Linked DNA regions of Tribolium castaneum. The protein of the gene in region 1 purifies or fractionates together with the protein of each later gene. This does not show direct contact. Links are inferred from orthologs where the notes say so. Each region holds a gene or a part of one and is shown on either strand. Other genes may lie near its edges.

Region 1 (3,997 bases):
GTGAAGTTTCTGGGTTAAACGGAATCATCTGTGTAAACAAAGTCGACAATTTAATCAAAAGTTGAGCAAACTTGATTATGATTGTTATTGACGTGGGAGTCATAAATGGGGTTTTGGGTCACAGAAGACTTACCACGAGATGGTCCCTTGAGGCTTCGATTCAAAATGTGACTTATAACAATATAATAAAATGAGCAATGTATACACACTAAACACTAACGAAACTCCTTATCTTATTTATTGACTTTGCCAAACGCCAGCAAACATCACAAGGGACGGTCGTAAAAATCCAACAAATAACAATTAAAAAATTAAACACCTTCAACCACTTCCTATTCTAAAATAATATCGGACATGAAACAGTACGAACTCACTCCCCACTAAAAATAAAAACAACACGCACAAAAACATGTAAAAATACTCGACTTAAGTAGTGCTAGCGCCGCCTGTTGGCTTAGTTCAGGCGCATTGCTAGTTGCATACCGTAACCTTAGGCCCACTCCAATGTCAAGTCTACCTAAATTTAAACCCAGCGTCAATTTGAACATTTATTATATACAGTTACAATAATACTGGACACATTACGACTTGGCTAAAATCTGCGCTCTCAGCTCGATGCACATCTCCTGCTCCTCGATGATCTGGCGGACCAAGTTGATCTTCTTGATTTGCAAAATTTGGTTCTCCTTGAGGAACAGGTCCATGACTTCGTCCAGGTCCTCGTTGGGCACCATCGCCACGGGCGGCACCTCCCCCGTGATCTGCGAGCGCAGCACGGCGATCTGGCCGCGCTCCGCCTGGATGTCCTTCAGGAGCGAGTCTCTGAGCAGCAGCAGCCCCTCGTTCTTGAACTTCAGCAGCGCGACGCTGCCGTCCAGCTCCGACTCCTCCTCGCTGGCCGCCTCCTCGGGCTGCGCCTCGGGCTCGGGGGCTTCCACCTTCTCGACCGCTTCCTTGTCGCGGTTCGCCGTTTTCAGCTTGCGCTTCAGCTGCGTGATGATCCTCTGCACCTCCCAGAGGAGCTCCTCGCGCTGCTTCGAGATGCAGCAGACGTTCATCTCCTTGTGGATCTGGGTGAGGAGCGACTCCTGCTTCTTGAGCTCCGTCTCGATCTCGGGGGGCTCCTCGGGGAGCTTGGCCCCGGACTCGAGAGGGGGCACGTAGCGCGCGATTGTGATTGTGGGGAAGAGCGCGAGGCAGTGGTGGAGCAGGGCGTGGAGGAGGCGCGAGGAGCAGTGGAAGGTGTGGTTGAGGGCTGTGGAAATGGCTTGTTTGTTCATTTTGTTGCATTTTTCCTGCGAAACGCGCTATACTATGGGGGCTGGGGTGTTAAGGCACTCACATTCAGAGAAACGTTGTGTAAATGGGTGATGAGCCAGCCGAGGAGCGTTTTGTTGTGGGGAGGTAAAAGGTCCACTAAAATTTTTAAGTGTTTTTCGCGAGTGTTGAGATTAAGGATGGCTCCGGCTTCCTCGAAACGTATTAAAAGGTCGTTTGTAAAAAGTGGTTCTGGTAAATCTCTGCAAAGAGTTTTTGCCCATCATGTTACACCTAAGAAAAGGTTACCTTAAATAGGTTTTTACTAAACTTGTGACGGTTGGAGGGTCGTAGTCATTTAAATTGATATTGCCCCTCTGATTGTACATTTTACGTATTTGGAGAACTTTTGATTTTGTTCCGCTGATTTTGTATATGCCTTCGAACGACATACCTACGGTTTCTACATAGTCTATACATTCCCGAATGGGTAAAGGAATGTCTACACCGTCATGGCACCGGCTCCTCTCAACAGCCACGTCTAAACTAGCCCCGAAAATCGGTAAAATATCTGGAACGAACAATTCATTCCAATTTTATTGTCATTATGTAAGAGTTCTCACCGCCGATGTCAGCGGTCTCGTCAATTGACTGTTTGAGTTTCTTCGTTTTCTCACTCTTGACTTTCTCCTTGTCCTGCTTCTTGTCATTCTTCTTATCCCGGTCTTTCTTCTTGTCGAGATCTTTCTCTTTTTCGCGGGATTTGTCCCGTTTTTCTTTGGCTTTGGTGGAGAATTTGAACGGTTTGGCTTTTTTTGTTTTCGACGGGCTTCTGAAACATCCCAGTGAGGGTTTGAGTGATTGCAGGTGTGATTACCTCGACTTGAAATTTTCATCAGCTGAACTTTCGCCTTCTAAAGCGGCATAACCTTTGTCTTTATCCTTCTTCTCTTTGCGTTTTCCGATGAGAATGTCCTTTTTCAAGACTTTCTCATTTTCGTCACTATCTAGAAACGAGTTTTAATCGGGAATTAGTGGTTCACTTAATTTATTATTACAGTCGCTGTCGTTATTGCACTGCTTATTTAATTCGGATGCGTACAAGCCTGGGAAATCCTTCATTACGTCGGGGCTATCAAAATCCATATTGACACGGTTGGGTTTGAACTTTTAATAAATAATTATGACACTATTTTCCCAAGGGAATTTGTTGCTAAGCATGTTAAGCTGGGATAAAACAGAAACAACACAAATCAAGTCATCTGAGTGGTGTAATATGACAGGTGCTTGCCCTGCCATCTCTTGAAGGAACTGGTGTTGAGGGCCGCCTTAACCGGGAGATTCGAAATAAAAGACGAGCTAGTTTTGTAATTTTTTTTAATTTTTTTTACGTGTTACAGGAAGACAAATCTTTGACCACACTTCCACAACACACTTTACAAACTAACTTAACTATGTAATAAATTGCAAGGAGTTGAGCAAAAAAAACGTTTAATTATCACAAGATTTATGTGTTTTTTCGTCTCGCCTGCAATCAATTGTCGATTGCACGTGGTTGGTTGCAGGCGAGACGGAAAAGCAGATTTTCAACTATCTTAAAATGATGAATTAGTACTCTAAATACAATATTACGAAAACACATACAAAAGAACTCCTTGCCTGTCCTATGATTTACATTTTCATAAACATACCAAAGGGAAGGTCATTATAAAAATATATCAAGAGTAGTTGACACCTAAAACTGTTAACAATATAAAACAAATGGGATTTAGTCGTATTAATAAAAACAGAGTTTCAAGTAACAACACCTTTGTCTAGTCTTGCCCCTAAACCAGTTGTCAAGGGGTCCTAACACAACTTATAAATATCCTCAAGCTAGATCAAACGAGAGGAGTGAAAGAAAATCCGGCAACGTAACAAAGTAAAAAGTAGTCCCTACTACGGGAGAAGTGAATGAAAATCCGGCAACGTAACAAAGTAAAAAGTAGTCCCTACTACGGGCGGAGTGAAAGAAAATCCGGCAACGTAACAAAGTAAAAAGTAGTCCCTACTACGGGAGGAGTGAAAGAAAATCCGGCAATGTAACAACGTAAAGAGTAGTCCCTACTTTAGATCGAGGCTACGCGCAAAAAAAAAACAATAATATAATAACAAAAGAAACGGTGGTTGTGTCATTAAATGGTATTAGAACAACGAGTTGGCGAGTGGCGTTTATCTATAGTCTTGAAACAACATTACAACTAAATTTTTTTGGGGAAATGCATACCTTAAGTAAATAAGTAAAATTTACCATCGTATGATTGCCATTTTCAATGAAAAGTGCAAACATTCTTAGCTCAACTAAACGTACATTGATTGTATTGTTTTCTAATGAACCAACCTTAAGAAATCTCAGCTAAGCAGTTATACGTGTAGCCCAGCTACATAATGCTTAATATATTGGTACACACTAAAGCGAAAACGAAACAGCCTATTTTTTAGATTTTATATATGAAAGTATTGTGGAGTGAGCCCATATGTATGTACAAAGTATAGCGCAGTCATTACAATACAACTGATTAATGTAACCATCAAACTCACACAAAACTTTATGACTAAATCATTCACGTTATATAATAATAGAACCGATACGGTCTCCACTGACATTTAAAAAATATTGCGTTGCATAGCTTCATCTTGTAATTACTAGAAAAATATGAAACTGTCAGTTATTTTAAGGCAATGGCACTTGCGCAAATCT
Region 2 (4,395 bases), on another chromosome or scaffold:
TTTTAAGGTAATTTTTATTGTACTGTAATAGTTATAACACAAATAAAAATTCATTAAAAGAAGAATGAGTGCAGTACTTTTTGCTGGCATCTAATTGCATTTCCTTTTTATATTATTTAAACCGGTGATAATAGCGTTATTATTACTAATTCTGATAACAAAGGTCGCAGTTCTTGCTCTAAAATAAGTACTCGGAACAAATCAGTGTTTGCGTATACACAATAATAAAATAAAAAATGTAGTAGAGTTAAATGTTGGGCTTGAGTTATTGTTTGCGTAAGATGATCAGAGAAACAGTGTTAGTACCTGCCAACACTTGCACGTAAAAATAGATAAAATAAACAAATACAACCGCAGGTGTTAAACGAACAGACAAAGACGATTCTTACCTTCCCGTATCCATTTCCGAATCTAAATCATCAGCACTTTTATACAAATTAACAACAGACATAGCATCCATATCTAACTTATCACATGAATTGGGTTTTCTTTGCTTCACTTCAACTTCCCCATTACAGTAACTCAAAATGTGGGGCTGACTCATAAATCTATCATTTTCCAAACTGTCCCCATGCCTTACAATGGTCAGTCTCTTCTTATGGATTTTTCTTCTGGTAGGTGACAGTTCTGACGTTTCTTGTCCTGACAGTAACAAAGGGGCTGACATGGACGTTGTAATTGAGTTTTTTCGAACATTGTCTTTGGTTGTCTCTAGTGGCATCACAATTTTAATAATCTATAAAAATAGTAAAGCTTAATTTAAACACGAAACGACTAGTGGTTCATTTTTCTTGGACTAGTGAGTCACGAGCTTGAAAACGTCACATAACAGTACTTGGGTAAAAATTTACAAGTATGATAACATAGACCATAATTACATGCAGTGATAACTGACTGCTGTTATTATGTTTGTGTAATTTTTATTTAACAAAAAAGTGTTTGCTATTTTTAAACATGTCAACTGCATTCTTGTAATTTGAAACCTGATCACTTGAGTTAAAAAAAAACACATACTCACCTCACAGATTCACTGTTAAATGCGAAATAATACACATTTTACAGCGATATTACAGTGATAATATCAAGTACAAATTCCCCTTTTTAAAATAATTAGTTCTTTTGTACTACTGGTAGTTTGAATAACTTATACAGTAGATAAAAAAAAGAATCATTATTTAATATTTTTGCTAAAGAAGATAAAAGTTGGGTAATAAATATTGTGGCTCAGTTTTAGGTTCCAATTTTCTGTTTAAGTATTTTAATTTTTTATATGGATCATGCCACCTCTTAGTTCGATTCTGCAAAAAAGTTACTAAGGAAAATAAAAGTCCTAAATTGAAAATTTTTGTGCAATTTTTTACTTTACTATACTTTCCGAAACGTGTAATATTGCCTTGTTGTTCAATTTGTTTGCGATAAGGTAAAGTTCATCCGATTTGAAGGCGTATTACCTTCGATAATTCGTTCTCCAGCCGGTTTTTTGGTAACATTTTCCGCATTGGCAGCAATGTGCATGGCGGCTGTCAAGAAACGAAACCAAAAATTGTCATCTGTCCTCATGTTTATTGCTAATTGTTTAATTTTATAGTTACAGTGAAGCAATAAAGGTGTGAATTTATGTATTTTTAACTAAAAATAACAGTTCCCTCCTCTAACTCTATGCCAAACAAACCCACCTGAAAAAACCCCAGAAGAAATTCTTCAACACTTGAAAAAAATCCATGACGATCTCGCCCATTCCTACCCTAATTTGATCGTGTTGAATTATGTTTAAAGACATGGCTGATTCAGCGAGTGAGTCTGATTCGAGCAGCATTGACGGGGGCCCCATCATGATGCCCCCCAGCCCCATAACCAGGGAGCAGCTCCAAAAGCGGATAGAAAGCTTGCAGCAGCAAAATCGGGTGCTTAAAGTCGAACTCGAGACCTACAAGCTGCGGGTCAAGGCGCTCCAGGAGGAAAATCGCGGCCTGAGACAGGCCTCTGTCATTATCGTGAGTCCAAAACCTTCAAGCCTTGCCGTTTACTAACCCAAAATTGCAGCAAGCCAAGGCTGAGCAAGAGGAGGAGTTTATTTCAAACACTCTTCTTAAGAAGATTCAAGCGTTGAAGAAGGAAAAGGAGTCTTTAGCCCACCACTATGAAAGGGAGGAGGAGTGTCTTACCAACGATCTCTCGCGGAAACTCACGCAGCTGCGACAGGAGAAGTGCCGACTTGAACAAACTCTAGAGCAGGAACAAGAGTGCCTTGTTAACCGTCTAATGAGAAAAATTGAGAAACTAGAAGCTGAGACGCTGGCCAAGCAGAGCAACTTGGAGCAGCTGAGACGCGAAAAAGTAAGATACATGGGGAAAAAATTACACATTAAATTTAAAAAATTAAATTTGTACTTTAAATAATTTATTTATTTCTTCAAGAGTTAGTTTCATTTGTGTAATATCTATAATACTTTAATAATTAGGTCGAGCTTGAGAACACTCTTGAGCAGGAGCAAGAAGCTCTCGTTAACAAGCTCTGGAAGCGCATGGACAAGCTCGAGGCCGAGAAGCGAATGCTTCAGATCAAATTGGACCAACCGGTCTCAGATCCGGCGAGTCCTCGTGACATCAACAACGGCGATACTGCCACCAATCTCAGTGCCCACATCCAGACTCTCCGTTCGGAAGTGGCCCGTTTGAGGCAAACATTAGCAATCAGCCAACAAGAGCACACCCAGAAGATGCAAAGATACGCGCAAGAGGAACGCAACATCAAGGAGGAGAACTTGAGGTTGCAGAGGAAGCTGCAGTTGGAGGTGGAGAGGCGCGAAGCTCTCTGTCGCCACCTCTCGGAGAGCGAAAGCTCGCTGGAGATGGAGGAGGAGAGGCATTACAACGAGCAAGTGCTTGGGGCCAGGCAGCACACGGTGTCGCCGGTTCCGTACAATCCGTCGCCTAGCCAGAGTCGCCCCCTGAGTCCAGGTGGGAAAAACATTTTTTAAGCTCCTAATTGTAAGATAAAACCAGATATTGTCGGGTTCCTATAAAAAACATACCGAAAAAATATATATTTAAACTCTGCCTTCTATTAAACTATGTTAGTTATTTCAAAAAATACAAAGTCTTATTTTGTGTATTTGCGTATCTTCGCTGTAACAATTATGTTTTTTTATTTTTAACACCAATTAATCGATAATCCGTGAACCCCTTGTAACAATTAGTTCGGATGTAGGTGTTATACTGTGATGTTTTTAGGTTTGTCGTCGATGCAAGCCCCATCCCCGCGCGACTCGCTAATCGTGGGCCCCCCACGCTGTCCGACTTGCGGTCAATTACTAACGGCGGCTTGCGTGCCTGCTTTGCACAACGTGGGTTCCAGCAGCCCCCCGGCCCCGGCCCACCGAAGGACCAGCGAAAGATTCATCAAGCCGGCGATTCCAGCACCACAGCCCGCTAGTCCCATGGATACTTCAATCACTAAAGAATAAGATAAAAAAGGTGTCGAGTTGACAAATAAGTAATCATGTTGATGGGCTTTCGTTTTGCAGGTGGTGAACATTTGTTGGTTTTCTCTGCATGTTATTTGTATAGGGGCTTTAAAGTTCGAAACAAATAAATTTAATAAAACTACATGGTGTTACTGTGAAACTAATGGATACATAATTTTTTCTTATTTAGATATATTATACTTGGATTTTTCGATTTTCGGGCAGCTGTTTTTGATTAATTTCGGGATCTGCTTTGCTTTTAATATGTGTACTTAATGATGTTATATGATAAAGGGAGCTTCATTGTGGTCAGCTCTACTAAAATATTTCCATATTTGAATGTTTACAAGTGATCTTTCAATCTAGCAACGGCAGTTGTCACAGGTCCGATGCCATGTTGAACCATTGCCAACAATTTTCACAATGTTTGTGATATGTGAGTTTTTGTTAATTAAAATTGTGACACGATTTCTTAACAATTTCGTTTAGTTTGTACACTGCACTCTGCCAAACTTGTTTTCTTAGTATTCATTATTTTGTCATGCAATAATAAATCTAGCTTACGTTTTAAGTAATGGATATCACGTTTTTTATTTGTAACACCATTTCAATTAAGTAAGTTTAATTGAAATGTTGAAGGTTATTTATCCGATTTGTTACATTCATAACACTAGAAATTACGAATTAAAGACTATTTAGTTTAGAGTTAGGTGTTTTTTAGATTAACATCTCAAAAATTGACACTACAGGTGGCAATTCAAAAAAATTGTGAAAAGTGATATTAGGATATAAACTCATTAGTTTCATTGGTGGAATTACATTATCATCTTGATTTGCCAAATTTCTAAATTTAAACAAAATTCTTCCCTTACTAAATTAAAAGCCAATGAAAACTTTCGGTGACTATTTCAGGGTCATATGTTAGTCT

What was found. Proteins that work in one complex are often made in the same cells at the same time.
Region 2: the proteins of Rlip (region 1) and coiled-coil domain-containing protein 6 purify together in Homo sapiens (affinity purification with mass spectrometry; 3 studies listed by BioGRID and IntAct, counting the BioPlex papers as one, with this or other methods). This does not show direct contact. The link is inferred for Tribolium castaneum from reciprocal best matches to the Homo sapiens genes RALBP1 and CCDC6.

Annotation. Positions count from the first base shown.
Region 1 is NC_087403.1:3,536,255-3,540,251, forward strand, and holds Rlip (ralA-binding protein 1), read right to left. Parts: upstream 2,546-3,997; 5' UTR 2,404-2,545; coding exon 2,316-2,403; intron 2,265-2,315; coding exon 2,135-2,264; intron 2,090-2,134; coding exon 1,881-2,089; intron 1,829-1,880; coding exon 1,567-1,828; intron 1,521-1,566; coding exon 1,343-1,520; intron 1,296-1,342; coding exon 582-1,295; 3' UTR 536-581; downstream 1-535. UniProt on the Homo sapiens protein: Multifunctional protein that functions as a downstream effector of RALA and RALB. As a GTPase-activating protein/GAP can inactivate CDC42 and RAC1 by stimulating their GTPase activity.
Region 2 is NC_087398.1:5,840,409-5,844,803, forward strand, and holds the start of coiled-coil domain-containing protein 6, read left to right. Parts: upstream 1-1,472; 5' UTR 1,473-1,766; coding exon 1,767-1,994; intron 1,995-2,043; coding exon 2,044-2,337; intron 2,338-2,462; coding exon 2,463-2,961; intron 2,962-3,234; coding exon 3,235-3,467; 3' UTR 3,468-4,395. Other genes in the region: subdued (anoctamin-4), read right to left, coding at 390-721.